Canis lupus familiaris: one gene and its partners. The protein of the gene in region 3 purifies or fractionates together with the protein of the main gene of each other region. This does not show direct contact. Links are inferred from orthologs where the notes say so. Each region holds a gene or a part of one and is shown on either strand. Other genes may lie near its edges.

What was found.
Region 1: the proteins of DIS3L (region 3) and EXOSC1 purify together in Homo sapiens (affinity purification with mass spectrometry; 4 studies listed by BioGRID and IntAct, counting the BioPlex papers as one, with this or other methods). This does not show direct contact. The link is inferred for Canis lupus familiaris from reciprocal best matches to the Homo sapiens genes DIS3L and EXOSC1.
Region 2: the proteins of DIS3L (region 3) and EXOSC3 purify together in Homo sapiens (affinity purification with mass spectrometry; 6 studies listed by BioGRID and IntAct, counting the BioPlex papers as one, with this or other methods). This does not show direct contact. The link is inferred for Canis lupus familiaris from reciprocal best matches to the Homo sapiens genes DIS3L and EXOSC3.
Region 4: the proteins of DIS3L (region 3) and EXOSC9 purify together in Homo sapiens (affinity purification with mass spectrometry; 3 studies listed by BioGRID and IntAct, with this or other methods). This does not show direct contact. The link is inferred for Canis lupus familiaris from reciprocal best matches to the Homo sapiens genes DIS3L and EXOSC9.
Region 5: the proteins of DIS3L (region 3) and EXOSC6 purify together in Homo sapiens (affinity purification with mass spectrometry; 3 studies listed by BioGRID and IntAct, with this or other methods). This does not show direct contact. The link is inferred for Canis lupus familiaris from reciprocal best matches to the Homo sapiens genes DIS3L and EXOSC6.
Region 6: the proteins of DIS3L (region 3) and EXOSC4 purify together in Homo sapiens (affinity purification with mass spectrometry; 5 studies listed by BioGRID and IntAct, with this or other methods). This does not show direct contact. The link is inferred for Canis lupus familiaris from reciprocal best matches to the Homo sapiens genes DIS3L and EXOSC4.
Region 7: the proteins of DIS3L (region 3) and EXOSC2 purify together in Homo sapiens (affinity purification with mass spectrometry; 5 studies listed by BioGRID and IntAct, with this or other methods). This does not show direct contact. The link is inferred for Canis lupus familiaris from reciprocal best matches to the Homo sapiens genes DIS3L and EXOSC2.

The regions. Positions count from the first base shown.
Region 1 is NC_049249.1:10,920,242-10,924,178, forward strand, and holds the start of EXOSC1 (exosome complex component CSL4), read right to left. Parts: upstream 2,801-3,937; 5' UTR 2,774-2,800; coding exon 2,707-2,773; intron 2,600-2,706; coding exon 2,484-2,599; intron 2,437-2,483; exon of another isoform or gene 2,119-2,436; intron 375-2,118; coding exon 300-374; intron 1-299. UniProt on the Homo sapiens protein: Non-catalytic component of the RNA exosome complex which has 3'->5' exoribonuclease activity and participates in a multitude of cellular RNA processing and degradation events.
Region 2 is NC_049232.1:54,409,432-54,413,482, forward strand, and holds the start of EXOSC3 (exosome complex component RRP40), read right to left. Parts: upstream 2,801-4,051; 5' UTR 2,399-2,800; coding exon 2,075-2,398; intron 1,183-2,074; coding exon 1,033-1,182; intron 1-1,032. UniProt on the Homo sapiens protein: Non-catalytic component of the RNA exosome complex which has 3'->5' exoribonuclease activity and participates in a multitude of cellular RNA processing and degradation events.
Region 3 is NC_049251.1:31,034,316-31,038,514, reverse strand, and holds the start of DIS3L (DIS3-like exonuclease 1), read right to left. Parts: upstream 2,801-4,199; coding exon 2,662-2,800; intron 1,123-2,661; coding exon 969-1,122; intron 1-968. UniProt on the Homo sapiens protein: Catalytic component of the RNA exosome complex which has 3'->5' exoribonuclease activity and participates in a multitude of cellular RNA processing and degradation events.
Region 4 is NC_049240.1:19,160,748-19,164,908, forward strand, and holds the start of EXOSC9 (exosome complex component RRP45), read right to left. Parts: upstream 2,801-4,161; 5' UTR 2,693-2,800; coding exon 2,627-2,692; intron 1,714-2,626; coding exon 1,619-1,713; intron 675-1,618; coding exon 555-674; intron 434-554; coding exon 331-433; intron 1-330. UniProt on the Homo sapiens protein: Non-catalytic component of the RNA exosome complex which has 3'->5' exoribonuclease activity and participates in a multitude of cellular RNA processing and degradation events.
Region 5 is NC_049226.1:76,859,546-76,862,847, forward strand, and holds EXOSC6 (exosome complex component MTR3), read right to left. Parts: upstream 1,814-3,302; coding exon 995-1,813; 3' UTR 501-994; downstream 1-500. UniProt on the Homo sapiens protein: Non-catalytic component of the RNA exosome complex which has 3'->5' exoribonuclease activity and participates in a multitude of cellular RNA processing and degradation events.
Region 6 is NC_049234.1:38,326,332-38,329,942, forward strand, and holds EXOSC4 (exosome complex component RRP41), read left to right. Parts: upstream 1-1,133; 5' UTR 1,134-1,356; coding exon 1,357-1,527; intron 1,528-1,587; exon of another isoform or gene 1,588-1,775; coding exon of another isoform or gene 1,776-1,838; exon of another isoform or gene 1,839-2,217; intron 2,218-2,389; coding exon 2,390-2,596; intron 2,597-2,709; coding exon 2,710-3,069; 3' UTR 3,070-3,111; downstream 3,112-3,611. UniProt on the Homo sapiens protein: Non-catalytic component of the RNA exosome complex which has 3'->5' exoribonuclease activity and participates in a multitude of cellular RNA processing and degradation events.
Region 7 is NC_049230.1:53,364,602-53,368,878, reverse strand, and holds the start of EXOSC2 (exosome complex component RRP4), read left to right. Parts: upstream 1-1,477; 5' UTR 1,478-1,513; coding exon 1,514-1,635; intron 1,636-3,290; coding exon 3,291-3,392; intron 3,393-4,277. UniProt on the Homo sapiens protein: Non-catalytic component of the RNA exosome complex which has 3'->5' exoribonuclease activity and participates in a multitude of cellular RNA processing and degradation events.

The DNA of each region.
Region 1 (3,937 bases), on a different chromosome or scaffold from region 3:
TACGCATGCTTGAACTTGGCTGCCTTGATCACTATCCCAGAACTTTCTAGGCCGGCACAGTCCAGTAACACTGTGATGATTAAAATGTTCTGTGCTGGCCAACAAGGCAGCTGTCAACTATACGTGAGCACTTGGAATGTAGCTAGTGAGATGGAGGAAATGAACTTTCAATTTTAATTCATTTCAATTAAATGGCCACATATGGCTAGTGACTGCCACATAAGACAGAGCACTTCCACAATGATCATGATTTCACCATTGAACAGGTGTCCTAAGAAGGGAGGTTAAGACCTACTTACCTTACAGGTTACAATAGTCCCCACATCTGGTAGCAATTGAGATTCTGTTTCTCTCATCACAGAAATCACAGGAAGCTATAGACAGAACAATAAAATGTGAGATCCTGACTAAGCCTTCCATAAAGGTATCTGGCTTAAGAATAATGTAGGAATGCTTTGGTCCACAGCTGAGATCACAAGCACAGATGGACTACAGACTCATATGTGCCCAGGGCAGACAGTCTTAGAAATTTAAGGCAAATAGGAAGGTCAAGGGGCCATTTTTCAAAAGAAAGATGCTACCAGAAGACATAATCTAATCATTTCAGAACAGTTCTAACAAGTTTTCTTTTTGTGGTTTTCTTGGAATTTCTTGGTATATAATCAATTGTGGATAACTTGACTCTTCTCTTCAAAGTTCTACTACTTCCTTCTGATTTTCACTCTATTGTACTGGCTAGAATTTCCAAATAAATGTTATATAATAATGGCCATACTTTATTTTTTTCTATTTTAAGGGAATACTTGTAGCTTTCCCTTTGAGCATGGTATTGGCTATTGGTATAAAATATGTATTTTTTAAAGATTTATTTCAGAGAGAGAGAGAAAGCATGCGCAAGTGGGGAGAGGGAGGGAGAGAATCTCAAGCAGATTCCCCACTGAGGGGGGGAGGGGGCACTGACACCGGACTTAATCCCAGGACCCTGAGATCATGACCGGAGCTGATATCCGGAATCGGACGCTCAACCAACTGAGCCACCCAGGCACCCCAAGACATATTTTGAACCTCATCTTTTACTTGCCTCTTCCTTGTTTCCTATGCTTCAGTTTTCGGACCTTCATTCAGTTTCACTAACGCACTAAACATGTTCCCATCTCAGGATTTGTGTTCAACCTGTTCTTTCTCCCAGGACTGTGCTCTCCACTCAACTCTTTTTTTTTTTTTTTTTTCCCCACTCAACTCTTCTTTATCCTTTAGATTCAGGTTAAACATCACTTCTGTTGACTACAATGGGTTTGTCCTTTACATGTTCTCATGGTAACCTGTAATATTCTTTCAAAAACAGTCATGACTTTTGTAGCCATAAACCAATTTGAACCTTTACTTGTTTGTAATTTATGTCTGTGTCCCTTGGTAGCAGGGATCATGTGTATTTGGCTCATTACCATATCTTTAGAGGTAAAGATTGTGCCTGGCACATGAAAATGCTCAATAGATATCTATTTCTATGAAACGAACAAACTTAGAACTGTTACAGTCTTAAAATTGATTAAAAAGTCTTTCATTTTACATCTGAGCAAAAACTAAAACCAGAGAGATCAAGTTTCTAACCTAAAGCAGAAACAAGGTCTAGTTAGCCAGTACCTAAATGTTCTAATTCTGAATTCTCTATTAATGCTCCCTGTCTTTAAGGGGGTCCTTCAAAGACTGTTTATCCGATCCTGGGCTAATCCTGGATCAGTGTTAAGCATTCAACAAACATTTATTGAGCATAGGCTGCTGTGCTCAGCACTAAAGGTATGGTGGCAAGGTTTGTTTTCGTGGAACTTAGAGTCTAATAAGGGAAGAGTCTAGGAGGAACAGGTAACCGAATGCTTAATTTTATGCAAAGAAGAGCACACAGAGGAAAGAAATTTAGTTCTTTGTGAGAGTTTAACAAAACGAAAAATAAAAGCTCACAAAACTCCTTTCCCTGACTAGTGGGTCTAGGAGGGCTACTCTGATAAAAGTGACACTAGAGAGGCCATCTGAAAAGTAGGTGGGAATTAAAGAGGCTAAGGAGGAGATGGGCGCGTGACAAACAGCGTGTTCATCGTTCTGTGGCAGAAGAGAGCTTACCCCACCAGCGACAAAGAAGCCTGTGTGACTAGACTGCAGAGTGGGGTGGGAATAGCGGAGCAAGATGAAACCAGAAAGGGAGGCGACATCCGGACAAGATTCAGCTCACTGCAGGCGGAACCCGCCTCTGCTCGTCCCCTAACTTCCTTCCCCGAATGTCAGCAACAGAATCAAGCGGGACCACATCTGGCCTGTGGTGGCGAGGTGCCCAGCAGTGGAGACCTCAGCTGGAAGAAACTCGGAGACCAGCTGTTCTGCTGAGGTCCTAAAGACGCGTCCGCAGTGCCCTTTCCTATCGACCGCGAAATCAAAAGCAGCCTAAAAGAAAAGCAGAGAAGGAGGAAATGGGAAGCAGCCCCCTTTACCGCGCCATTCTCGCTGCTCTTCGTCAGGCAGCCAGCAAGCGACGAAAAGATGTAGCCGTGGCGAGTATAAGTGCCGCTGCCCGGGCTGCCCTCCTCCAAGTTACACAGACGTTCGCCTGAAGAGAAACGCTGCATCAGTCATGGGTCTTCAGAGGGTGTCGGTCATGCAGCCTTCCTGCCTCCCTGTCCCATCCAGAATTCGCTTCGGTCCCCGCACACTTACCCGGGATGCAGTACCTCACGGGCGGCGCCATGACTGCCACTGGAGGGAAACGAAGTCGGCTTCTCATTGGCCAAAGTTCAGGAGCAGTTCTGCAGTAAGAAACGCGCCAATTGGTGCGAATTATCACGTGGTCTTCGGGAGCACCTCCTCCGTCAAACTTTATTTCCCAGGTTGCTCCGGGACCAGGGCGGGGGCGGGGCTCCGGGACGCCTGCGCTTGCGCCTGTGGTCCAGGATGGGCTGGCAGCGGGTCCCAGTCTGCAGGCTGGTTCTTCGGGTGGCCGGCGATGGTTGGTTGGACTGAGACCGGCCCGGCCGGGTTGCAGAGCTGGCGGGGGTGGCAGTGAGCGGCGGCGGAGGCTGCGGGGTTCCATTTGGCTGACTGGGGAGTCGGCAGGCGGCAGGTAAGAGCGGAGCCGCGGCCTTTGCTCCCCAGTCCTGCCCTTTTTTGTAGGGTCGGGGCCTGTTTGGGGCCTTTTCGTGAGCTCAGGTTCCTGTTCTCTCGTTGTCGCGCCCTGCACGGCCGTGCCCTGCACAAGCCTGGGGGAGTGCACTCTCGGGGCAGCTGTAACGCTTGGAGCTGGAAGGAGGTTAGCCAACCCAACTTGCCCATTGTAGAGATTTGGAAACTCAGATCCAGAGACAGGATTTGACTTGTCCAGTGGCTCAAAGACAGTTCAAGGTAGAGCCCAAACCGGAACCCAAGGTTTTTTTTTTTTTTTTTTTTTTTTTTTACTTCTTCTATCGCACTTTGACCACACCACCCCATTCAGAAATAAAGCCTTTTCCGGATTTTTGTGACTGCAGCTTCAGGTCTTGCAGTCGGATCCTCTCAAGCGGAGCTCAGGTCGTGTGGGCCCATTCATAACTTTTTCTTTTTCGAGCATGTTAGTCCGGAAGGGAAGTCTGCACGTGAGTAGAATGCTGCTCTTACCGATGAGTGACAGCTACTGCTTAAGATAGGCAGACATCCCGAGAACAGCATCTTTGTCCATATGAGATTTGCTACGACTTTCATCTTAGTTTCTCTTGCCCTCTGGTGACTTTGGCATATGTCCCCTCCTGTGCAAACCCTCCAGCCCTCACCAATCGTTTCCCCTAGGAAAACAGATGGTGACTTAGAGCCTTGGAAAGAGGGGAGTGCTGTGGCCTTCAATCCCATCTAATCTGGTGGCATATGTCACTATGGCCTGTGGTTGCTACTGAGGGATCAGTGCTAAAGGCTTGCGCTT
Region 2 (4,051 bases), on a different chromosome or scaffold from region 3:
TAGCCTGGTTCTCAAAAGATGAGATGTTCCATAAGCTAAGGGGACAGAGCAATCCAGATAAAGGGAACAGCACAAGCAAAGGTACAAGAGCAGGGACTTATGAATTCAGTAGTGCTATTAAATAGTTTGAGATAGGGGGACCTGGGTGGCTCAGTGGTTGAGCATCTGCCTTTGGCTCCAGTAGTGATCCCAGGGTCCTGGGATCGAGCCCTGCTGATGCAGGTTCCCCACAAGGAGCCTGCTTCTCCCTCTGCCTAGCTCTGTGCCTCTCTCTGTATCTCTCATGAATAAATAAATAAAATCTTTAGTTAATAAATAAATAGTTTGAGATAGTTCAAGCATAGATACAATTATAGACAAGAAAGGACCTCTGGAGTATAATGCCAATGAAATCTATAGGCTTCAAAGAAACTTTTTTTTTTTCCTCTTTTGGAGAAAGGAGAGTGTGTGAGGCTGTTGGCTTTTGAGAGGGCAAGTGTAGAGGCAGGGATGTTAATGAGGAGGTCACTGACCAAGTCTGGTAAAAAAAATAGCTAAGGTCTGAACTTGCAATATGGAGACATACAGGGATGAACATGCAAAATATCAGAGACAGAATCAAAGCTGTTGGGAAATGGTGATGTGACTGAAGTTGTGAGATGCCAGTCAATCAGGATGGATAGATGGCTGATATGGCAATTTGCACCATCTACTCCTCCTTCTTCCCCAGCTTATGGTTTACTTCCTTGTCCAGTGGATATGGACATAACAAAAAACAATAGAAAGAACAAATATAACCTTTCAACTCAGTAGAGATGAAACAGCCCCCAATATAGCAAATGTAAAATAAGTATGTGACTCTGGTTAGAGCTGGAGCACTGGAAGGAACTCTTGGACCCCAAAGTGATTACACAGACGCTCAGAGATGACCCCATAGAGCTAGGAAAATAGGTCATGCTTAGGAGACAATTTAGGTAGCCTTTTGGTTATTTGAGTGTTTCTGGATATTCGTATGCTTTTCTTCTTTTTGAAACCAAAAGTTCCCATCATTACCTGCACATTTGGTCTGTTTCTTTTAGTTGCACCTTCAAATGCCAAGTAAGACAAAGAAGCTGGCTCACTCCCTCCAACATCAACTTTGAAAATATCTCCAGACTTAGCTGTCACTATGCCGATCACATGGTCTCCTTTCACGGGGACATACTACAGAAGAAAACAGAATGAAAGAACAGTCATAGATGACAATCATTTCCAAGGTATCTTGGAAGATATCTTTAATAAGTCCTTAGTGGTCATTAGAGTTATTTAAAAAATATTTTGAAATTCAAGTTTACAAATTAATACAAATCAACAACAAATGTGATGTTACTCTCAGTAAAAGAAAAAAAAAATCACACCATAAACTCTCAGGTTTACAGCTTTTAATACTCTGTTCATTTGAGCCAGTATCCCACACCTCTTATTTCCTTATCAGAACTTCCTAGAGCAGGAATCCCTGGATGGCTCAGCGGTTTGGCTCCGGCCTTCCGCCCAGGGCCTGATCCTGGAGTCCTGGGATCGACTCCCACATCCGGCTCCCTGCATGGAGCCTGCTTCTTCATCTGCCTGTGTCTCTGCCTCTCATGAATAAATAAGTAAAATCTTAAAAAACAAAACAAAAAAACTTCCTAGAGCTTCTGCTGGCATATGAAGTCCAATGGTACAGGGGACGGGGTCCTTACAACCAAGAAAGGCTATTTCATTGCTAGACAAACTTTCCCATATTAAAGTTCTTACCTACTCTAAGAGAAATTTAACTCCCTGTTACATCCTCTTATTGAGCCTGGTTCTGGTGCTCCCTGACCTTTGAGACTCTGTAGGCAATGACCCTGTCTCACAATCCCTATCCTCTTAGACGCCAAGATTTCCAGTCTCCTTTGTCTCCTTCTCGGGCCACGCTCCATTTGCTCACAGTCCCTCTGAGGGGAATGCAGCGGTGCGCACAAGATTACGGTGGCTCTGGACCAGCATTCGCAGAGAAGAGGTCCAGGGCCCCATGCAGAGCGAGAATATCCCCCTCACGGCCGTACCACCTCTCCGGAGTCCCCCAACTCACCCGTTTCTGCTGTGAGTCCACCCAGTAAACGCCACCGCCGCTGCCGCCGCCGGGCTCCTTGTGACGGAGGCGGCCGCACTTGGTGACCAGCAGGCGGTCGCCACAGCGCCGCAGGCCCGGGCCGCACACGACGCGCCCCCGGGAGCGCGTCCCCGCATTCAGGCGCAGCGGTCGCTCCCCAGGACCCCCTGGGCCTTCAGCGTCCTCCTGCTCCGGCAGCAGCAGCTCCTCACCCGGGAGCACCACCTGATCCAGCACGGTGCGCGCCGCACGCGCCCGGTCTCCCGGCAGAGACTCGGCCGCAGCACCCACCGCCTCAGCCATACCGCGAACCTCCACACGCAACCTTCAGCTTCCGCTTCCGGCCCCGCGTCCAATCGCCAGCCTGCCCGAGGCGTTCCGTTTCCGGTAGTAGCGGACTATAGGAACCGAACCATCTGCGTCCCTGAAACCTGAGAGCTGTGGGCGGGGGTCCTGCCAAGGTGGCTGCGGTAATATCTCCCGCCCGTCACCTTTCTTGCGGTCTTTCTGCGGATCAGTACGAGAAACACGCGGCTTAAGTCGATGGCAAATACCTCACTTCCGCTGTTTCGGGCTGCACCGCTGGATACAAGACGCTCCCAAGTGTGGTTCCGTGGGAACCTCGACGACCGAGCCGAGGGGCTTCGGGATTGATCCTTTCCTTCCAAGACTCAGCCCTCTGAAGGAAAAGCATTTTCCTTTTTCTAAATAAAACCTGTTTTTATGGTTGCTAGAGAAGATATCAATTCACACTGTGGAAAACAGAGACTAGAAAGAAAATAAGAGGTATTAGTCTTGCCCCCATTTGTCTCCTGCTAGGCCGCCAGATAATTCTGTGTCGCCCAGTCTCTGTCACCTAAATAGATAGGACCTGATGAATCAGTGCATATTGGCATTTTAGTGTGTATTTCTCCGCAGACCTTTTCCCCCTGAAAATATACACATACGCATGTGAATTTTCACATAATTCACCTACCCCTACATGGCCTGGGGAAATCAGTAACTGCAATCAGATTCTTGTAGCTACATTCCTTGAGACACACTAGTTGACCAGGTGAGCAGTTGGATTCCAAATCCATAGAATATCAGGACTGCTCTTACTTGAAATCCAGGTTCCTCTGTACACCAGGATTTCCACTTTGCGGTTGGTCAAATTCCCCAGCAGGGTTGAGAGCTCCGGGGGACTGGGAGGGTTTGGCTTTGCCTTTCCCTTTGAGGCACTGGCTTCCAACGTGAATTTTTAGTTTTGGGGGACGTTTAAGACAGATCACCTCTAACTTACCTTCCATATTTGGCAAAGTGCTGGCAAGCTGACTGCGTAAGCGTATTAAGAGGCCAACTGAAACGTAACTTTTCTTGTTTTGCAGTCAGAGTGTTGTAGAAGCCTATCTTGATTGGTTTATCCTGGCAGGAGGGATGGTGCAGATTTTTTTCCCTCCTCCCACTCCAACCCAGCACTAGAGGACCTGCAACCAGTAGGTATTCGATGACCAAGGCCGCCTAGATGGTGGCTGGCCCAAGGCCATGCCCAAAGGGAGCTCAATGGCCTCTGGTCTGGGCTGGACAGAGAGGTTGGGAGTGGTCCCAGGATTGGTCCCTCCCGCACCCCATGCTGATCGAGAAGTCTTTGGAAAAAATACTTGGCCCAAACCTGGCTAAAGAGGCCTTCAAAGTCCACCACCCGATAGGGGTGGCACGTGGGTACCTCCTGACTGGTTCTCTAGTCAAGAGACGAAACCCCCCCCCCCCAAAAAAGAGACGAAACCCCAAGCTCCAGGGGTGGGCAGTCTCCTAAAAATCCGCAGCTGGGGTCGGAAGTGGCCGGCTGTGGCTCTGGGGGCGTGGGTTCCTCCTGACACGCCCCCCGGGGCGGGTCCAGGGGCGGGGCGCGCGGGAAGGTCGCCTTTGGTGTCTCTCCCCCTCCCCCACCCCCACCCCGCCAGCCGCGTGCGGCCC
Region 3 (4,199 bases):
CAACAAATTGATTTTAGTAGCAGAAATTGAAATACGACACCTGGAACAGCATTCAAACCCGAATGTGAATAAACATCTATATCTTTGTGTCTCAGCAAAATCAACTTCAAACTCATTTAAAAATATTCTATCTGAAAAATCTGCAATCTAGTTAATGTACATTTTTTTGAACTGAGCATGTAAGGACAACTCATCATTTTCACACACAAATAAACATACTTCATCTTTTACCACCAAAGTCTGAAGAAACCACATTTAAAAAAGAGTAAACACACAGTTTCTTCTCTTTAAATAACTAGGGGTGTTAAGAGGTTGGATGTATAATTCCAATATGCTGTTTCCATGCAGTCTTCATGTTCGAATCATAAATCCTTTACCAATGTTAAATGAGGCAAAGCCATTTTTTAGATATTTGTCTAAAAGGTGAACAATTGTTCTTCATTTAGGTATAAGGCAATCATTTTAGAGTGATTTTAATCAGAAGTCCTTTGTTTAGCAAATACAATGAGTATGGTTGGTAGTTATACTAGTAATGTAAAAATAAAGCAAGTTATTTCTGCTTTCCTTAAATAAATAAATCACTACAAGTACAATTTACACCCATAATAAACAGTTTAAAATTTAAAAATAAAATAGTCCCCCCCCACACACACACAAAAGGGTAGGCTTTTGAAACAATACATCTAAAAAATAAATGCAAACCCAAAGCCAAGAATCTTAAATACCCATATACCAGGGACACTGCAGTTTATTGATCTATAGTCAGATCTCTCGGCCAGGTGTTGAAGCAGAAATATAAAATAATGTCACTGCATTCCTCACCAGCGAAGAGAATACCAAATTAGCTCAAAAAGTCCTTTCTGACAAAATAACGAATTCCTCCCCATTCCCGCCAACAAGGGACCTTTTTCTAAAGGGGAAAAGAAAAATATGCTGTATAGAAATAAAAAATAATGCAAAATGGATACCTGCGACCTCTTTGATGCTGCACGGTTTGACAAGCCGTCTGCATGAAAATAATTCCCTTCAACTCTGGGAACTCAAGGATCTCCAGGTAATCTTGAACAACTTTCCAATCTGGGATCATGTAATGAGTCACGTCACTAGACAAGAGTTTCCCATCTAAAACATAATTCAAAAGGTAAGCGATTAGACAACATTTGCAAACTTGGCTTATTCCTATTTGAGCATCAAGGTGCTGCACTCTACAAAAATAACTCCCAGTCTCAACTACACCTTAAAGTTTTTTTTTTTTTTTTTCACCTTGAAGTTTTTAAAGGACAGGACACGTCTGCTTTGGGAGAGGTCCAAAGTTCAGGTAAACCCAGCAGCTTCATTTTTCTGAAGCTACGCAAAGGAAAAGCTCAGCGTGGTTTATGGTGTTGCCAGTGGTGCAGAAGACGAAATTTTTAAAAAGCAAACATCTTCAGCACACCTTAAATATGTATTTGTTAAGGGACTGACATACACTCACATTCAAATGGCGGGGGGAGGTCCCCCGAAATATATATGTTAACCACTTGTTTCTGCCGAGCAATTTCAAGTGGGTTCTTAATCAAGCCCGTGTACATGCTCTGAAGTCTCCAGGGGCCAGAAAGCCGGCATCGACTAGAAAGGATGCTCAGGGATCCCTGGGTGGCGCAGCGGTTTGGCGCCTGCCTTTGGCCCAGGGCATGATCCTGGAGACCGGGGATCGAATCCCACATCAGGCTCCCGGTGCATGGAGCCTGCTTCTCCCTCTGCCTATGTCTCTGCCTTCTCTCTCTCTCTCTCTCTGTGTGACTATCATAAATAAATAAAAAAAATAAAAATTAAAAAAAAAAAAAAAGAAAGGATGCTCAGTGCACGCAAGGGCAGGGGTTAGGCTTTCCGCGCGGCCTGCATCTCCGGGAGCGGGGTGAGCCAAGCTGCAAACTGAGGATTCCAAATACTCTCCGAGAAGGACCCCCCTCTTTGATCCCCCAAACACATACACATACACACGGCCCTGCTCCTCCCCCACCAGGGAGGGGAGAGATCTTCCCAGCTAACCCGGGGCCACCCTTGCAGCTGAGCAACCAAGCCGGGGGGCGGGGAAGGTTAGCGCACAGCGGCTCCAAATCCAACGTCCCCAAGGCCTTCCTGTGCAACCATCCAGGCCCAGACAGTCGACACATTTTAGGGCAGCCGGCTGTCCCCCAGTCTGAGGCATGCGGGCTGGCTGCGCGGCTCAGCCATTTGGCACCACCTTTGTCCCAGGGCGTGACCCTGGAGACCCGGGATCGAGTCCCGTGTCGGGCTCCCTGCGTGGTGGGGCCTGCTTCTCCCTCTGCCTGTGTCTCTCATTAATAAATAAATAAATAGAATCTTTAACACTGGTGGGGAGTTGGAAGTGTCGAAGGAGCAGCAGCACGGTGCCTCGCCCCGCCTCTCACCGCCCGGCACCCCCCATTTCATCAGTGCGCCGTCCCGGGGGGCATCAGGGGCAGGCCCTGCACCCACGTCCCCCCCCCATCACCCCCCTCGCCCCCGGAAAGCCTCGATCGCCAGGCCCCTGGGCCGTGGGGGCGCCGCGCTCTCGGGCCCTGCGCCTGATGGGGGCGGGGTGCGGAGCCCGGGAGCAGCGGCCTGGCCCCGCGCCCCGCGCCCCGCGCCCCGCCCGCGCCCCGGCCCGGCCCCGACCGTTGCGGCAGGCGGCGGGCTGCGGGCAGAGCGGGCTGTGGCAGGGCACGCTGGGCCGCAGGTAGTGCTCCCGCACGATGCGCAGCGTCCGGCCCTGGAAGGTCCTCAGGAGCAGCACCTTCTCCCGCTTCTGCAGCATGCCGCCGGCGCTGGCGGGACTCGGCCCGGCCCGGAGGCCGCCCGGGGAGCTGCCGGGAGGAGGCGGGCGCCGCGCGGGCGGAAGCGAGGCCGCGGCTCCGGGCCCGCCCCTCGGCCCGCCTGGTCTACGCGGGCTCCCGGGCGGCGCTGCAGCCGCAGGAGCGCCGCGAGGGGCCCCGGAGCTGCAGCCTGGCCCCGCCTCAGTTTCCCGCCTGCCCACCGTTGCCCCCCGGAGGGGGGGGGGGCGGTTAGGGAGAGGAGGAAGCTGACCCCAAAATAAAACGCCCCGGGGAGACCACATATGTAGATTGCGTGGAAGCAATCTGCAAGGTTGGGTGCAACCCTGAAGGATTCTTGGACATTTATTTCCACCCCCCCCCCCACCCCCAGGTCCTTATGGGCATAGGGGCTGCAGGGTGGGGAATTAATTAGTTAGTGTCCTCTGTTCCTCGCTCTTGCTTTCTTAAAAGAGCTAAAAGATTCCGATGAAGAAGCCAGAAACGCTGCCAGACCAGCATTTTTATCCCCACCCCCCCCGCTCAAAAAAGTATTTATTTTTAATTCCATGTATTTTTAATCCAAGTAAAAATTCAAACAATGCAGATAAAATGAAAACCAATCCCATTTCCTTGAGGTCAACACTATCTGTTCAGTCCCAACGTTGATGGCCTCTGGCCTCGGCAGCCTGTGGCAAAGGAGTTTTGCTTTTTTTTTTTTTTTTTTTTTAGATTTTATTTATTTATTCATGAGAGACAGAGAGGCAGAGACACAGGCAGAGGGAGAAGCAGGCTCCATGCAGGGAGCCTGATGTGGGACTCGATTCCAGGTCTCCAGGATCACACCCTGAGCCACCCAGGGATCCCCAGGAGTTTTGCTTTCAGGCTGGGAGACCCAGGCCCAGTTTCTTCAGGGATCACACACTCCTCGCTGGCTAGAAGGCGCTGCTCTTCCAAGCACTCACAGAGACCTTTGAGCTGTACCAGGGGCATTACATACAAGTGTCACATTTGATTTCCACAAGTCAGTGGAGTCAGGCTTATTATCCCCATTTTACAGGCGATGAAACAGGATTAGAGAAGGTTAAGTGGCCAAGGTTATCCAGTTATTAAGTGGTAGAGTCAATATTCGAGCCAGAATCTGGCTGAATCCAAAGCAGGCTCTTAACTAATGACTGTGTTATTCACAGATGAGTAAAATAGAGCTCCTGCATCGAAGGACTTTATGATGCTGAGCTCTGGTTAAGGCACCTCAACCAGCTGGCTGGGGCTATCAGAGCTTCCTAGTGTTAAAAAAAAAAAAAATTCAAGTAAATCTAAAGATCAAATTGGCTTTATTTAAGGATTTATGGATCGCCCAGCATCCTATCTAGCAAACAAAAAAGGAGCTCTGAGGAGCTGTGC
Region 4 (4,161 bases), on a different chromosome or scaffold from region 3:
GTTCTTCAGTTCTTTCATTCGTAAAAAAGGAACACATTAACTGCTTCTATCAACCCAAAGAACATAAGAAAATAGAATATATGAAAAACCACAAGTTCTTTAAATAACACATTTTTATACACATCTAGATTGATACTTTCACTGAGGTTTATTGTCTCTTCAGAGAGAGATGACATAAAATTCTATGGGTAGCACTCAGGAACATTTTAAGTGAAGTGAATCAGTATAAAACTAAGTTAACAGAAGCTCTGAGAATAAAAGTACAGATACAGGAATCCATGAATCAACAATACTCAGCCTAAGATTAAGAATTTTGGGCATATTCCCCACCTTTTCACCAGCAACAACACAGAGAGATTCAGTGTCTATACACTTCGAATTTCTTAGACATCTTTCCAAGAGTCGATTCAACTTCACCAAGAGATCTGACTGCCTATGAAAATAGGAATGGGCTAATGTCATGAAATATAACACCAGGCATTAAAACAATAGCTCACTGCTGTTAGGTTCTCCTCTGGCTAAAGCAGCTTTTAAAAAAAAAAAGGTTTAAATACCTGCCAGGTTCAAAAGCTGGAGCAGCCATCTGAGAGAGTTCAAGGTTAAAAAAAAGAATACCTTCTGTTGCCCTATTGAGTTTTGGAGAAACAAGTTCACAGGAAACCTGTCCAAGAACTCTGTAAAGATAAAGCACAAATCTGTTAACTAAATATATCTCCTTTCCAATTAAAAATTAACCTAAAACAGATACCAATTAAGTTTTGATCTTACTCTGAGTAATCACACACTCAGTATGATGTACTATTAGAGGCTGAAATCACAAATAGAGTTTAGAATATATACAGAAATAAAACACATATTGGTGTACTCAAAAAGATGGTACGAAAAAACAACTCTTGGGATCCCTGGGTGGCGCAGCGGTTTGGCGCCTACCTTTGGCCCAGGGTGTGATCCTGGAGACCCGGGATCGAATCCCACGGCAGGCTCCCTGCATGGAGCCTGCTTCTCCCTCTGCCTGTGTCTCTGCCTCTCTCTTTGTGTGACTATCATGAATAAATAAATAAAATCTTAAAAAAAAAAAAACTCTTCCTATAATACTATTCCATAGATTTTATTTTTAAAAATCAATGATCTTTGCTTTTGTAAAACAACTATTTATCAACACAAGATGGCATGAAAACTTGAGATTTCTTAAGAGTTTTCATATGGCATGGCTAGCTAACGTTACCTGAACAATATTTTTACAGCTTCCAAATGAATATTAAAAACCTAATTCTCATGTCAGGAAAATGAGAAAAGTAGGACCATTTAATGGGAAGTACAGGAAACAAATTCAGGGCAATTACTGCTGGCTTGAAGAGATCAGAAAACTACGTGATACTCATGGGATGAAAAATACATTTTATGATACTCATGGAACAAAAAATACGTTTATGGTTAAAAATCTTAAATGTGAACTATAAATCCGCAAAACTCTCGCATTTAAGAAAATATACTTATTTTGGCAGCAAAACAAAGAAGTCTGTGCACACTTCTTAGCTGCTTTGTAAACAACTGATTCAGTAAGGTTCTTTTAAAATTCTCCCTGTTGGGCTTTCATCTAATTCGAATCCTTTATTACCTTGTCTTCCCAAGCTCCACAATACAGCACCCATAATCTGTTCCAAATGAGATCTTTATGTTCCTATAATCATAGGTTTGTCTGCCATCCAGCCGCTGTAAGCAGAACATTCATTCATTTATTCCTTCAACAAGTATTTATTGAGCAGCTACTCTATGCCGGAGCTAAACATGGGGCGGGGGGGCGCGGCGGCGATTCCTAACCACTCCCCCATCCCATCGGAAAGTGGAATCTCGGTCCCTGAGCACTAATAGTTGCTGGTGTGATTCCAGCCTTGAACCCAACCGGAGCCAAGAAAAAAAAAAAAAAAAAAAAAACTTGAGGGATTGGGGCATTTCCCCTCAGGGGCTCTCCCCCCACCTCGTACCTGTCCCCCCTCCCCCCCGGCCTGCGAAGGCCAGCTCCGTTGGACCCTCTCACCCCTCCGCCCCCCCCTCTCCCCCCCTCCCCCCTCCCCCCCATCTCCCCCCCTCCCCCCCATCTCCCCCCCTCCCCCCCCTCGCTTGCGAAGGCCATCTCCGTTGGACCCCTCACCCCTCCGCCCCCGGACCCCCCTCGCCCTCCCGCCCCCCCTAACCTCCCCCCCGGCCTGCGAAGACCAGCTCCGTTGGACCCCCCACCCCTCCGCCCCCCCCGACCCCCCCTCGCCCTCCCGCCCCCCCTAACCTCCCCGCCCCGGCCTGCGAAGGCCAGCTCCGTTGGACCCCCCACCCCTCCGCCCCCCCCGACCTCCCCCCCGGCCTGCGAAGGCCAGCTCCGTTGGACCCCCCCTCACCCATCCCGTAACCTTCCTACCACCCACCCCCGGGCCTGCGAAGGCCAGCTCCGTTGGACCCTTCACCCCTCCGCCCCCCCGGACCCCCCTCGGCCACCCCGTAACCTCTCTACCCCCCGCCCCGCCCACCCCCGCGCTTGCGACTGCCAGCTCGGTTGGTCCAAGCCGGAAGGCTGCCGGCGGCCGCGCGACCAGACCGCCCTCGCACCGCGAAGCTCTCCGGGGCCATTTACCTTCTTCTCCTCGATGGCGCGGAGTAGGAAACGGCGCTCACAATTTGAAAGTGGTGTCTCCTTCATGCTGCAGGCACACGGAACACACCAGCACCGGAATCCGCTGGGAGAAGTGATCTGGATCCCCCTTCACGCGCGCCCCGCGGGCTCCGACGCGCAGGAAACCTACGTCATCAAAGCTCGGCGGCTGAGGAGGGGCGAGGCGGGGGCCGCCCCAGTGCGCAAGCGCGGAGGCCCGCGGGCGCTCGCGTGCAGAGCAGAGTGGGAGAGGCGAGCGCGCTGGCGGAGAGGCAGGTGTAACTATCAGGCATAGAAGTCGATATCCGCATGGGGCTTTCACATTCCACCGTTTCATCAGTTCTAACGGGGTAGCTAGACAGGTATTGTTACTCACAGAGATGAAGAACTTGGGATTCAGCCGCTAGGAAGCTGCAGAGGCCAAGTCTGTAAACGTTTTCAGAGGAGAAACCCCGGAGCGAACGCGCGAAGGGGGGGGGGAGGAGGAGAAACTGGGGTGAGGGGGGTATTAACTGCGGGCTCAAGGTGAAATCTCGTAGACTTGAGGAGTTGACAAGAATTGGGAATATTAACCACTTTGTAACTAACAGCGTTATAATCCCCGCTAGCCTTGACTAAGTGTGTGTGTGTGTGTGTTTTCAGTCTCCGCAGTTATTTCAAGCTGATAAACTTAATTTCATGGGCATAGAGGAACCGGATGCTCGCGCCGACCACCTGGCATTTTTTTTTTTTTTTTTTTTTTTTTTTTTTTTGGAGAGGCGGTACCGAGAAATAGTTAAAAGCAGGAACTCCAGACGATCCAGATTGAAATTCTGCCTCTGCCCTTGACTAACAGGTCTGCGACCTTGGCCGAGTTAGTGTATGGGCTTCACATTATTCATCTGCAAAGTAGGAGTGATACGCCTATTTATTATGAGGGATGAAAACGAGTTAACACATGTAAAATGCTTAGAACAGTGTCTGGAACGAGTAAGTCCTATGCAAGTGTTTGCATATTATGTGGTTGACATTTGCTTCAGAGGTAATAGGCACTACGATTCCTTTTCAGGTTCCAGTCCACTACTTTTGTTTCATCTTACAAGATTTTTCCCCTAAGGGTGATGACATTGTAGTCTCAGTTTGTAGCACTTGCAATCCACATACTCAATAAATTCTTTTTTTTTTTTTTTTTTTTTGGTGGGGGGATGCGCTTCTATGTCCCAAGAATAATTCAAATGCTGGAGAACAGTGGTGGACAAAATCCTGTTTCCTCGAGGAACTTCTATTCTCTTTTTAGAAGAGACAAACAATAAAAACTTTAAAAAAAAAAAAACAAGTTCAGATATTGAATGCCATCTGAGAATGGGGTGGCTATTTTAATAGGGGTAGTTGCAGGAAGAAGTTTTGTAGAGGTGGCATTTGAGTTAAGGGAATTGTCAGTGATGACAAGGAGCAGCCATGATATCAACCTGGAGGAAAGGATAAGTGTTTCAATCAGGAGGACCATCGAGAGTCAAAAAAAATGAGATAGGATGAGT
Region 5 (3,302 bases), on a different chromosome or scaffold from region 3:
ATGATCTCAGGATCATGAGATCAAGCCCAGCATCAGGCTCTGCGCTCAACATGGAGTCTGTGTGGAATTTTCTCTCTTCTTCCCCACTGTCAACCCCCTTGCATGCCTCTAAATTAAAAAAAAAAAAAAAAAAAAGGCAGCCTGGACCCCTACTTCTTAGCAGCAGTGGGGGAGGCCTCTAGCTTCCACCCAGAGCCAAACCCCTTCCACCTACCCAAACCTGAGCTGTGGTCTTGCCCAGCACCAAACCAGAGGCCACAGAGTACACCCAGAGTGCTCCTGGGCCCACACAACCTTCCCTACTGTTGTCACCTTGGCAATGGCCAACTCTGCTACTCTAGGGGCACCTTCACCTCCTTCAAAGCACATTTCCCCACACCAACTCCTGCACCTCCTTTAGTTTCAGCCAGTCTTTTCTGCTTATGTTGGTCTAAGGAACAGGACACATTTAAGACAATGCTGTCCCCAACCCCTTGACACCAGGAGTCGACTACAGGGCACAAAAGAACCTTGTTCTTTTAAATTCACTACCGAGATGAACCACGATAGACTTTTCCAGATATAAAGGAGTTTGTTTTAGCTCAGATGTAAATGAGAAGGCACAGCCCCCTTGTCCATTCTCTCAAAAGCAGCCCAAGTCTATAGAAGGGAGTCACTAGCTGGCCTGCACAGGGTCCATCCCTTACAACAGTTCCAAGTCCCGTCCTCCAGATGAGTCCAGCTGAAGTCCTTCCCAACCTGGGAGGCAAGCTGCATTCGCAAGTTTCTTCACCTGGGTCGTAGCTGGGAAGCACCTGCTCAAGTAGAAACGTTTCTTTAACAGAAGTCTCTCAAGAGCCGTCCCAACACAGCCGTCCGGCGCTGTGCACGCCCCGTCGGATCCTCTCCCGCCCGGAGTTCTCCGCGCCGCGCAGTCTGGCAGCGGACGGCAAGGGTCCTTCGGGGGACGGGGGCAGCTCGGTCCTCGGCGTCCGTGGTCGCTCGGGCTCCCGGCTCAGGACGGCGCGGCGGCGCCCCTCCGACGGGCCGCCCGCACCAGGCACTGCTGCAGCACGGGGTAGAGGCGCTGGCAGCCCTCCAGGCCCAGACGCACCGCCTCGGCCCAGCTCTCGGGCGGGCCGCCCTCCCCGCTGCCCAGCAGCCCGGCCACCTGGTTGAGCACCGGCATGAGCGCCACGGTGAGGCCGGCGGCGGCGCGCTCCTCCTCGAGGCGCGTGGGGTCCAGCAGCCAGGTGGGCGCGGGTTCCGGCGTGCGGCTCAGGCCGCAGCCCACCACCAGGTCGTACATCTCGACCCCCGCGTCGGCCAGGGCGAGCGCGGCGGCCGTGAGCGCGGCGGCCAGCGCCGAGCCGCCGTCCTCGAGCAGCAGCGCCGACACCTCGAGCTGCGCGCGCGGGTAGCGGCCCAGGCGCACCGCCGGCTCGAGCGCCTCCTGCAGGGCCAGCGCCAGCTCGCGCTCCTCCCCGCCGCCCGGGGGCGCGCGGCGCCGGCGGCCGGCGAAGGGCGCGCGGCGGAAGTCGCAGAGCAGGCGGCCGCGCAGCGCGGCCGGGGCCTCGCCGCCCGCTCCGGCCGGGCCGCCGCCGCGCTCGCTGCCCTCAGCCTGGCGCGGGCCGGACACGGCGCACAGCACCTTGGTGCCGCCCGCCTCCAGGTAGGCCGAGCCCTTGGCTTGGCTCAGGAGCCCGGCGCGCGCGTACACGGGCCGCAGCCGCGTCGGGTCGCGGGCCGCGGGCGCCTCGTCCTCGTCGGCCGCGTACAGCTGCGGCGGCTGCGACTCCTCGGGCCCGCGGATTCGGCGGTGGTCCCCGGGCATGGCGGCGCCTGGCGTGCGAGCCGCTTCCGCCCGTCCCCTCGGCCCCGGCGCCGGCGCTTCCGCCCGCTTAAAGCCGCGCGCCCGCGCGAGGGCTGTCGGGATAGCGGCGGCCGGCGCCGCCCCGCCCCCTGCCGTCCCGGAGGAACCACAGCCGAGCCGCGGGGCCGCCGCGGGGCCGCCGGGAGGTCCCTGGCCGAGGGGGTGGGCCGACGGGGGGACCGGGCCGGCCTGCCTGAACGCTAGCCTCTCGGGCCAGCGCAACCCCAGGGCGCACATCTGCGTCCTTTCACTTGTAAAGGTTGAAATTATTTTGCACTTACACGTGTGACCATCTCCTACGTGTTCCCGTCTTGCCCAAGACATGGTCATTCCTCAGTGCCCTGGCAGGAGTAACGCTTGTTGAATGGAACATTCTCTCTCCTGCACTGGATTGTGTACACTCCGTACCCCTAGGAGTCCTCACCTGGCACGTCTTGCTGAACCATGTCCCCCTGCTGCTTCTCACTCCCGGCGAGGACGGGCCCTCACCCCCAGGCTGGTGACCAGAGCAGGTAGCCTCTGCTGCTGCTCGCCTCCTTCCTTGTCAGCGGGACTAGTTAACCTGGGCCCCACTGCCAACTGTTGTACCCAGGGAACACGAAATCAGCCAGAGCTAGCACAAACAAGCAGAACCTTTAACCTCCCCAGCGAACAGTTTCCAAACCCAGCTGTCTTCAGACTTGAGTGAAGGGATTCGGGACCAGGGCAGGTCCCGATCGATCCTATCCATCTTTGGGTCAGGGAACCAGCAATGATGGGTCAAAGGGAAAGGGGTAGTCACCTAATGCACCCTAAGAACACCTCTGATCTCACACCTGACTGCTCAACATCAAAAAGGAGAGGAAGAGGGACACAGGCCTAAGAATGGGAGAGCTTCTCCTATAAAGTGCTTCCAGTAACCCCATGGCCCATCTTCTATTGAATGACTAATGACTCTCTCCATCTCACCCACTCAACTCCCCATCCTATGGGCCACCTTCACCAATGTCTTCAGGTAATCCAGAGGCCATTCCCAAAGTTCAGGAGTTGAGCTGGACTCGATGAGGACCACAACCAGAAGCCAGTTGGGGCCATAGGCTATTACACAGGGGGCTCCTATGAGAGGTGGGGGGTTAAGAGATCACATAGCATCATTGAGTATTGCACATAGTCCTTTTATTCTCTGCAGCAGAGAGGCCTAAAAGAACTCTTATCTACAGACACGAGCATTGTCATGATAAATAGCAATCCTGGGGTAGTGGTTTTAGACATGGTGCTGGTATGTAGGGAGGGCTCAGGGCAGAAATGTAACGTGAGCAATGAGTCACAGGCTAGCTCCCAGGTGCGTGAGTTCCAGTTACTGCTGGGTTAGGACAGACAGGGCTGTTTAAAGGTCCCAAGATCCAAATGTCCTCATGGCAGGTGGAGAGCTGGCTGGACGGATGCATTGGGTAAGTGAAGGATGCTTCCC
Region 6 (3,611 bases), on a different chromosome or scaffold from region 3:
GGGAGCCCGACGTGGGATTCGATCCCGGGTCTCCAGGATCGCGCCCTGAGCCAAAGGCAGGCGCCAAACCGCTGCGCCACCCAGGGATCCCGATTCACCCGTTTTATTGCACAGTGGGAGCTGGCGGGAAAGGGGGGGCACACAGCCTGTGCACATCCCCAGGCCCCGGGCGGCACCTCCCCGACGCTCAGCCCTTTGGCTCCGCTTCCCACATTCGCCCTTGAAGCCCGGGCTCAGCAGAGCGGCCAAATAAGGCAGCTGGTGCGGGGCATGAGCATCCTGTCCGGGCGGACCGGGACGGGGAAGGGGATGGAGACTGGGATGGGGACGGGGACAGGACGTAGACGGGGTGGGGGGGGACGGGGACGGGGACGGGTCGGGGGGAGGGGAGCGACAGGGACGGGGACGGAGGGGCGGGGGACGTGGACCGGAACGAGGACGGGGACCGAGTGGGGGTAGGGGGACGACGGGGACCGGGACGAGGACGGGGACGGGGACGGGGAGGCGGGCGGGGGGGGGGGTTTGGTCGGGGGCGGTTCCACGGCGCTGGGCCGCCAGGAGGTGTCGGAACACGAGTCAGGACGGGGTAGGACGCCCGCGACGGCCACTCCTCGGAATCCCGCGGGGTTCTAGCCCGGCCCCGCGCGCCCTCGCCCCCGCACCCGGGCAGCAGCGGGGGAGCATCTGGGCGCGTCCACTCCGCGGGCGCCGAGCGGCCAACCGGAAACTAGTGGGCGTTCCCCAGGGTTATTGGGGCAGATTTCTCAAGGTCTTTTTTGAGTGAAAACCATTAAAGTGTATAAAATGCTCTCATTAAAATAACCGGAGTTCCCAATGCCACGCGGCTGTACAACCGCGTGTGCTCCCGATCCGTCTGCGGTTAGCGTGAGCGGAGAAGAGCAGACGGGAGCACTAGAGGGTGCGGGGGGAGGGATGGGGGGCGCGCGGGGCGCTGAGTAGGGCGTCAGGGGGCGCGGGCAGCGCAGGCGGGGGAGGGGCAGGGGGCGGGGCGGGACGCAGGCCGGAGCCCGCCCCCCCCCCCCCCCCCGAGACCCGGCGCAGGCGCGTGCGGCGTGACCCCGGGAGGCCCGGGGGCGTCAGAACCGCCCTGCGACAAGCCCGAGGGGGCGCGGCCGGCGAGTCTCCCCGCATCCGGTCTCCGCCTCTGGCAGCCGTGGGACAGCTCCCCAAACGGCCGCGGGCGCCGCCTGCCCCCGGGGAAACCGTAGTTCCCCGGGCCGGAAGTGGGTGTCGGACCGCCGGAAGCCGTAGGCCCCCAGAAAGCCGGAAGTGGGGTCGGAGCCGTCGGGAAGTGTAGTTTCGCGGGAGTCGCAAGCGCGGCCAGCCGCCGGAGACATGGCGGGCCTGGAGCTCCTGTCGGACCAGGGCTACCGGGTGGACGGACGGCGCGCCGGGGAGCTGCGCAAGATCCAGGCGCGGATGGGCGTGTTCGCGCAGGCCGACGGCTCGGCCTACATCGAGCAAGGCAACACCAAGGCGCTGGCGGTGGTCTACGGGCCGCACGAGGCGAGTGGGCGCGCGCGGGCGGGGCGGGCGGGGCTTGGGTTCCCCGGCGCTGGGGGTACCTGACCTCGTCCTCCCGGGGACGCCTTCCCGACCGCCTTCCTCTCCTGGGGAGCCCCTCCCCTGCCTTTCCGAAGCCCGTGGGCTCCGCGTTCGACTTCTCGGGAGCGGAGCGTCAACTCCATGAGCGGAGGGACTGTAGCTAAACCCACCTGCTGCTACTGCCTGGCGTCCACGCCGGAGCGGGGAGGATGGCTGGGGCACGTAGCGGGGCGCGTTCGCAGCGGCGGAGATGGGGAGCAACTCGGAACGAGGTTTGGGGGGCTCTAGGGAGGCAGGAACCCGCCGCGCTGTAGGCCAGGGACACGACTTAGGATTTCACGGGTGATGGGGAAGCTTTAGGAGGCGTCAGGACATTGACGCAGCGAAAGTGTATAGGAGATGACATCAACCGGGATATTTTTTTTTAAGCTTTTATTTATTTACTCATGATAGAGAGAAGCAGAAACACAGGCAGAGGGAGAAGCAGGCTCCCTGCAGGACCTCGGGGTCACACCCTGAGCCAAAGGCAGACACGCTCAACTGCTGAGCCACCCTGGCATCCCGAGCCTGGATATTTGTGAACACACCTGCTCTGGCCACGGATGGAGAATGGGTTAGCAGGGGACGAGGCAGGGATGGAAACAAGGAGGCCTGTTAAGAGAAGTAATATCAGACATGATGACTTGGAGACTGGCCAACTGGCCCTCCGATGGAGGTCCTCCTGCTTGCTTATGGAGATGCCGGAAGTAGAGGGAGGGTGACGGGAAGGCGTAGTGTCAGCTGTGGAGGGGTGAGCCTGACTCATGTGTCCTTCCTCCCCCAGATCCGGGGCTCCCGGGCTCGAGCCCTGCCAGACAGGGCCCTGGTGAACTGTCAGTATAGCTCTGCGACCTTCAGCACAGGCGAACGCAAGCGACGACCGCATGGGGACCGAAAGTCTTGCGAGATGGGCCTGCACCTACGTCAGACATTTGAGGCAGCCATCCTAACACAGCTGCACCCACGTTCCCAGATAGATATATATGTGCAGGTGAGCAAGCAGCAGCCATCAACCCAGGAAGGGAGGGGGAAGGAAGGGGAAGCAAGGATGGGAGTCGGGGGACAAGAGCCTAATGGACCGATGCCACTGGGCGGTACTTGCAGGTGCTGCAGGCAGATGGTGGGACCTACGCAGCTTGTGTGAATGCAGCCACGCTGGCAGTGCTGGATGCGGGAATACCCATGCGGGACTTTGTGTGTGCCTGCTCAGCTGGCTTTGTGGACAACACAGCCCTGGCGGACCTCAGCCATGTGGAAGAGGCAGCTGGTGGCCCCCAGCTGGCCCTGGCCTTGCTGCCGGCCTCAGGCCAGATTGCACTGCTTGAAATGGATGCTCGGCTACATGAGGACCACCTGGAACAGGTGCTAGAGGCGGCTGCCCGGGCTGCCCGTGATGTGCACACTGTGCTGGACCGTGTGGTTCGGCAGCATGTACGCGAGGCCTCTATTTTGCTGGGGGACTGAGCATCTGGCCCCCCATGCCCAGAATAAAACTCACATACAATCTGCTATACTTTAATTTCCCCACAGCACTTGCACACCCTCAGATCCTGGCCTGGTGCTTGCTCTGGGAGGTGACTAGGAACCGTCCCCATCCCCCGCACATGACATACCTTTTCCAGCTTCAAGACCCAAACCCTGAAGAGGAAGGTCGGGGAGCCTGTCTGCGGATGAACAGCCATCGTGCTAGGAAAGGTTCAGGCAGCTGAGCAGTGAGGCAGGGCCTGGCATAACGAGCCAAGCTGTGAGACGAAGGCAGTTCTCAGACCAGCACATCCACAGCCCACATCCTCTGGACTATGGCTTGGACTGCATGGCCCCCTCCACCCTGGGAGCCCTTTGGGCCTCCCTAGCCTTAGGCTCGGAAAGCACAACAAATGTTCTCCCCTGGGGTGGTGCGGAGGGGTGGGGAGTCTTCACACATATCTGCGGCGCTGCCTGAGCCCTCACCCGGGCACCTCCTGATCTGAATAGGATTCCCCACTTTCTAGTCCACATACCCCAGG
Region 7 (4,277 bases), on a different chromosome or scaffold from region 3:
GTATTCATAATCCCAATGCTGTGACAGGCCCCCTAAATGTGGGTGCTGTGAGGATGGGAGGGGCTGAGGTTATGTCCATCTCTCTTGGGATGAAAGTGGATGATGTCAAGAGTACCCTACTCTTAGTCTAGGGACACTCCCAGGCCTAGCTCCCTAGCGGGCTGGGTTACCTTGGCTCACAGGACACTACTGCCCTCTTATGGCGGAGGCCAGACTCAACAGATGGATCTTCTCACCCTTCTGTAGCTCTCTTCCTCCAGGCAAGCGTCTGGTATGTGCATGCCCCATGGGGCTCCAGAATTTATATCGTTTACTGCCTTGCAGGATTGACAGGCATAGTTGGGAGCTTTGCTTAGAAAGAAATGTTGGGGTAGCCCAGGTAGCTCAGCGGTTTGGTGCCGCCTTCAGCCCAGGGCGTGATCCTGGAGACCTGGGATCGAGTCCCACATCAGGCTCCCTGAATGGAGCCTGCTTCTCCCTCTGCCTCTGTCTCTGCCTCTCTCTCTCTTTCTCTGTATCTGTCATGAATAAAGAAATAAAATCTTTAAAAAAATAAAGAAATGTTCTCTATTTGGAGACTAATCAAGCAACTGGTCTGATGGATCTTCAGGAGGCAGTGGACCTGATTTACTGAGCATAGTGTGTGTGGCTGATGCAAGTTATTTAATCCTCTTAAGGGTCTTTGTGCATAAAGAATCATCAGCTCCAATTCCCTGAGGTCGAAACGCAGTTTGTTGTGGATGCTATGAACCATGTAGGACAAGGAGAAGGGATAGGGTAGTGGGAGGCAGGGAGAAGGGAGGAGGCAAATGCTCCTATTGAACAGGACACGGAGATAAAGCCACGTATTCACCCTATAAAATACACCCGCCTTGCAAGCTTTGTATATTTTCTTGGGCGGGTTTCTTTTTAAGTCAGAGTAAATCAGCTCATTCAAAAGAAGTTATTAAGAACAGAACCAGCATCTGGAGTACTGTTTGGGGGTAGAGGTGGATGGTTGGTGCTGAAGGAGCACCCACGAGGAGGCAGTAATGCAGTATATTGGGGCTACGAGGAACAGTATGAAAAGGACCTCTTTTTTTTTTTTTTTTCCCAATGAGTGTTTTCTGTAGATGCCATCCCCAGTCTCCCGAGCTCTCTCATACCGAAGAATCACATTTTAGCAACTTAGAGTTGGAAGGTAACTCACAGGCCCATTTCTCAATTACCTCTAACCCTGGTAAACAATGAATAGGATGATGATTACGGAGAGATTTTTGGTGAAAAAAAATCGAACGCTCCGAAACCTGATATTTCATGGATCTGTAGGTGGAGCCTTGCCAATAGTAAAAATGGCAACTTGGCTCCCTCATTCCCTTCGTGTTAACCTAATGGTTGCCAAGAGTAAACATGGCCACCGAACTGTGCGTTCCCATTGGCGGCCGCTCTGAGACCCGTGCGACGGCCGGGAATTGCGGAGCCGGATGTCGCGATTCCAGGCCGAACTGCGCCTGCGCCATTCTTTGGCGCCAAGATGGCGATGGAGATGAGGCTTCCCGTTGCTCGCAAGCCTCTTAGCGAGAGCGTGGGCCGCGATACCAAGAAACATCTGGTGGTTCCGGGGGACACGATCACCACGGACACGGGATTCATGCGGTACGTGAGGACTTGGGGACTCGCGGCCCCAAAGGGCAGCTGCTGGGCTCTCTGCACGTGGCCTCTGTTCCCTTACATCTGAGCACCCGCCGGACGCAGGGCACAGTTGAGCATTCCCGCCCCCATGTTTGCAAGGCCTCGGGCTTCTTACTCTGCGCACCTTGTGTGTCTCCGTCTCCGTTTGCCTCAGTCCTTGGTAACCCTTCTGTCCCGACCACTGGTGTCAGGGACTCCTGGGTTCTCTGCTTGAGGCCCCGATCGCCTTCTTCGTGGGAAATCTGCAGAACTGGGGAAGGTTAGGAGCAGGGGCCTCTTTCCAGTGTTAGGAAGAGGGACCAGTGGGCATTCCTGACCCGGCCTCTTCTCTCGGCATCTGTTAGCCAGGTGCTCGGTTTTGAAAGCAGTAATTGTTTGGGCGTAGGGCATACACAATATATTGTGCTACATGCACCCAAATCTACACGTTGAACCTGAAGGCAGTACAATATGTGTAGTTGAGAGTGCAGGCTCTTGAGCCAGACAATTGGGGTTCCAGCCCTGTACCGTCACATATTTATAAGCTAAGTTGTATTTCCTCTCCGAGGTCAGTTTCCTCATAATGTATTATCACTGTGATAATAACAGTGACTATTTGATAAGAAAGTGAGGATTACATGAGGAAATAATTTAAGAAAAGAAGCGTCTCAGTCGGTTAAGTGTCTGACTCTTGATTTTGGCTCAGGTGTGATCTCAGCGTCCTGAGATGGAGCCTCTGCGCCCCCTCCCCGTCCCCCCCCCCCCCACGCTTGAGATTCTCTCTCCATCTCTGCCCCTCCTTTTTCTTTCTCTTAAAAACAAAGAAGCAAAAAAAAAAAAAAAAACAAAGAAGCAGAACTCACCATTATAGGTAAACACTAGTGGTATTTCAGCCTTTGGGTGGGGGGAGGGGTGTTACAGCATTTACAACATTGCTCTTGAACCTTTTAGTTTGAGGTTATTGGATCCTAAGGAATCTTAAGTGTCCTTCATTCATGAATGAAGTATATGTTTGTCTTATGTGCAGTTGGAGCAGGACTGTGACCAAAGTAGAACTCTCTCATGTTATTTATATTTCGAAACAGATAAACAGTAAGCAGGACAAACAAGTTAGTATGTTTGGTGATAAATTCAGTGGGGAAAATGGAAAGTTGAGCAGGGTAGGTGGAATGTGGTTGGAAATATTGTGGAGGTGGTGGCAGTGGGGTGGGTAACTATTGTAAATGACTTAAAAAAGTCAGATAGGCCAGATAGAGAAAGTGACATTTCAGTAGACTTGAGTAGGACAAGGGAGATGTCTGTGCAGCTCTTTAAAGAAGGAGTGTTCTGGGCAGAGAGACAAACCGGGCTTTAAAGGCAGGAGGAGCCTGTTAAGAACATATTGTTCTTGGGGACGCCTGGGTGGCTCAGCAGTTGAGCATCTGCCTTTGGCTTAGGTCATGGTCCCGGGTCCTGGGATCGAGTGCCACATTGGGCTCCCCATGGGGAGCCTGCTCCTCCCTCTGCCTGTGTCTCTGCCTCTCATTGTCTCTCATGAATAAATAAATAAAATCTTAAAAAAAAAAAAAAAGAATATATTATTCTTGGGGGGAGAGGTCAACTCTTACCATCGTATATTTTGTATCCTACTCTCAAAACAGGGGCCATGGAACTTACATGGGGGAAGAGAAGCTCATTGCATCTGTGGCTGGCTCAGTGGAGAGGGTAAACAAGTTGATATGTGTGAAAGCTTTGAAAACCAGGTGAGAACAAAAGGTGTGTATTCTCTTTCTTGCGCCATTCAGGTTACCAGCCAGGTCTTTTCTGCCACAAAATACCCCTTACCCCCACCTGCTTTATCATTTAGCAGGTCTGTGATTTTGAACATGACTATATAGAAAGGGTATAGGTGACTGTAGTTAAGTGTGGGCTTCCAAGGATCCCCACATTACTTGACCTCTCCAAACCTTGGTTACCTCCTCTGCAAATTGAGGGTAATAGCATGATCTACCTTGTAGGATTTTCACTAGAATTCATTGAAATAAGACATGTAAAGTACTTAGCTCAGGGCCTACTACCTAGAAGGGCTCAATAAAGGTTAGCTCCAGAAAGGAAACCGGTGGTTTTGGAACCTTGTGAGCAAGGGTGGGGGAATGCAGGAGAAGATGCAGGTAGAGAGCCGAGGTGGGCAGACAGCCTGCCTTGTAGCACAGATAGGCATTTTCTTTCTTTTTTTTTTTTTTTCCACAGATAGGCATTTTGACTTCCACTTTATGTAGTCTGGGATGCCACTGGGAGGGTGGAACAGAAGAGGGACATGGTCTGAATTTCTGTCTTAATAAATTCACTCTGGCTGCTAGGAGAGATTGAGGGGGAACACATGCTTAGAGAGACGATTAATGGACTGTTTTTATCATCTGAAGTGATGGTGGCTTGGACTAAGGTAGCAGTAGAAGTGGGTAGTAATGGCGGATTCTGCATACATTTTGTGTTCTGAGTTTTTTTGTTTTGCCCCCCCCCCCCTTTTTTTTTTAAATCATGTAAGTGTGTTGGGTTTAGTATTCTTTGGGATTTTCCATATATTGGACCATGTGTGTGAATAGACATAGTTTTACTTCTTCCTTTCCCAGTTTGGATGCCTTTTATTT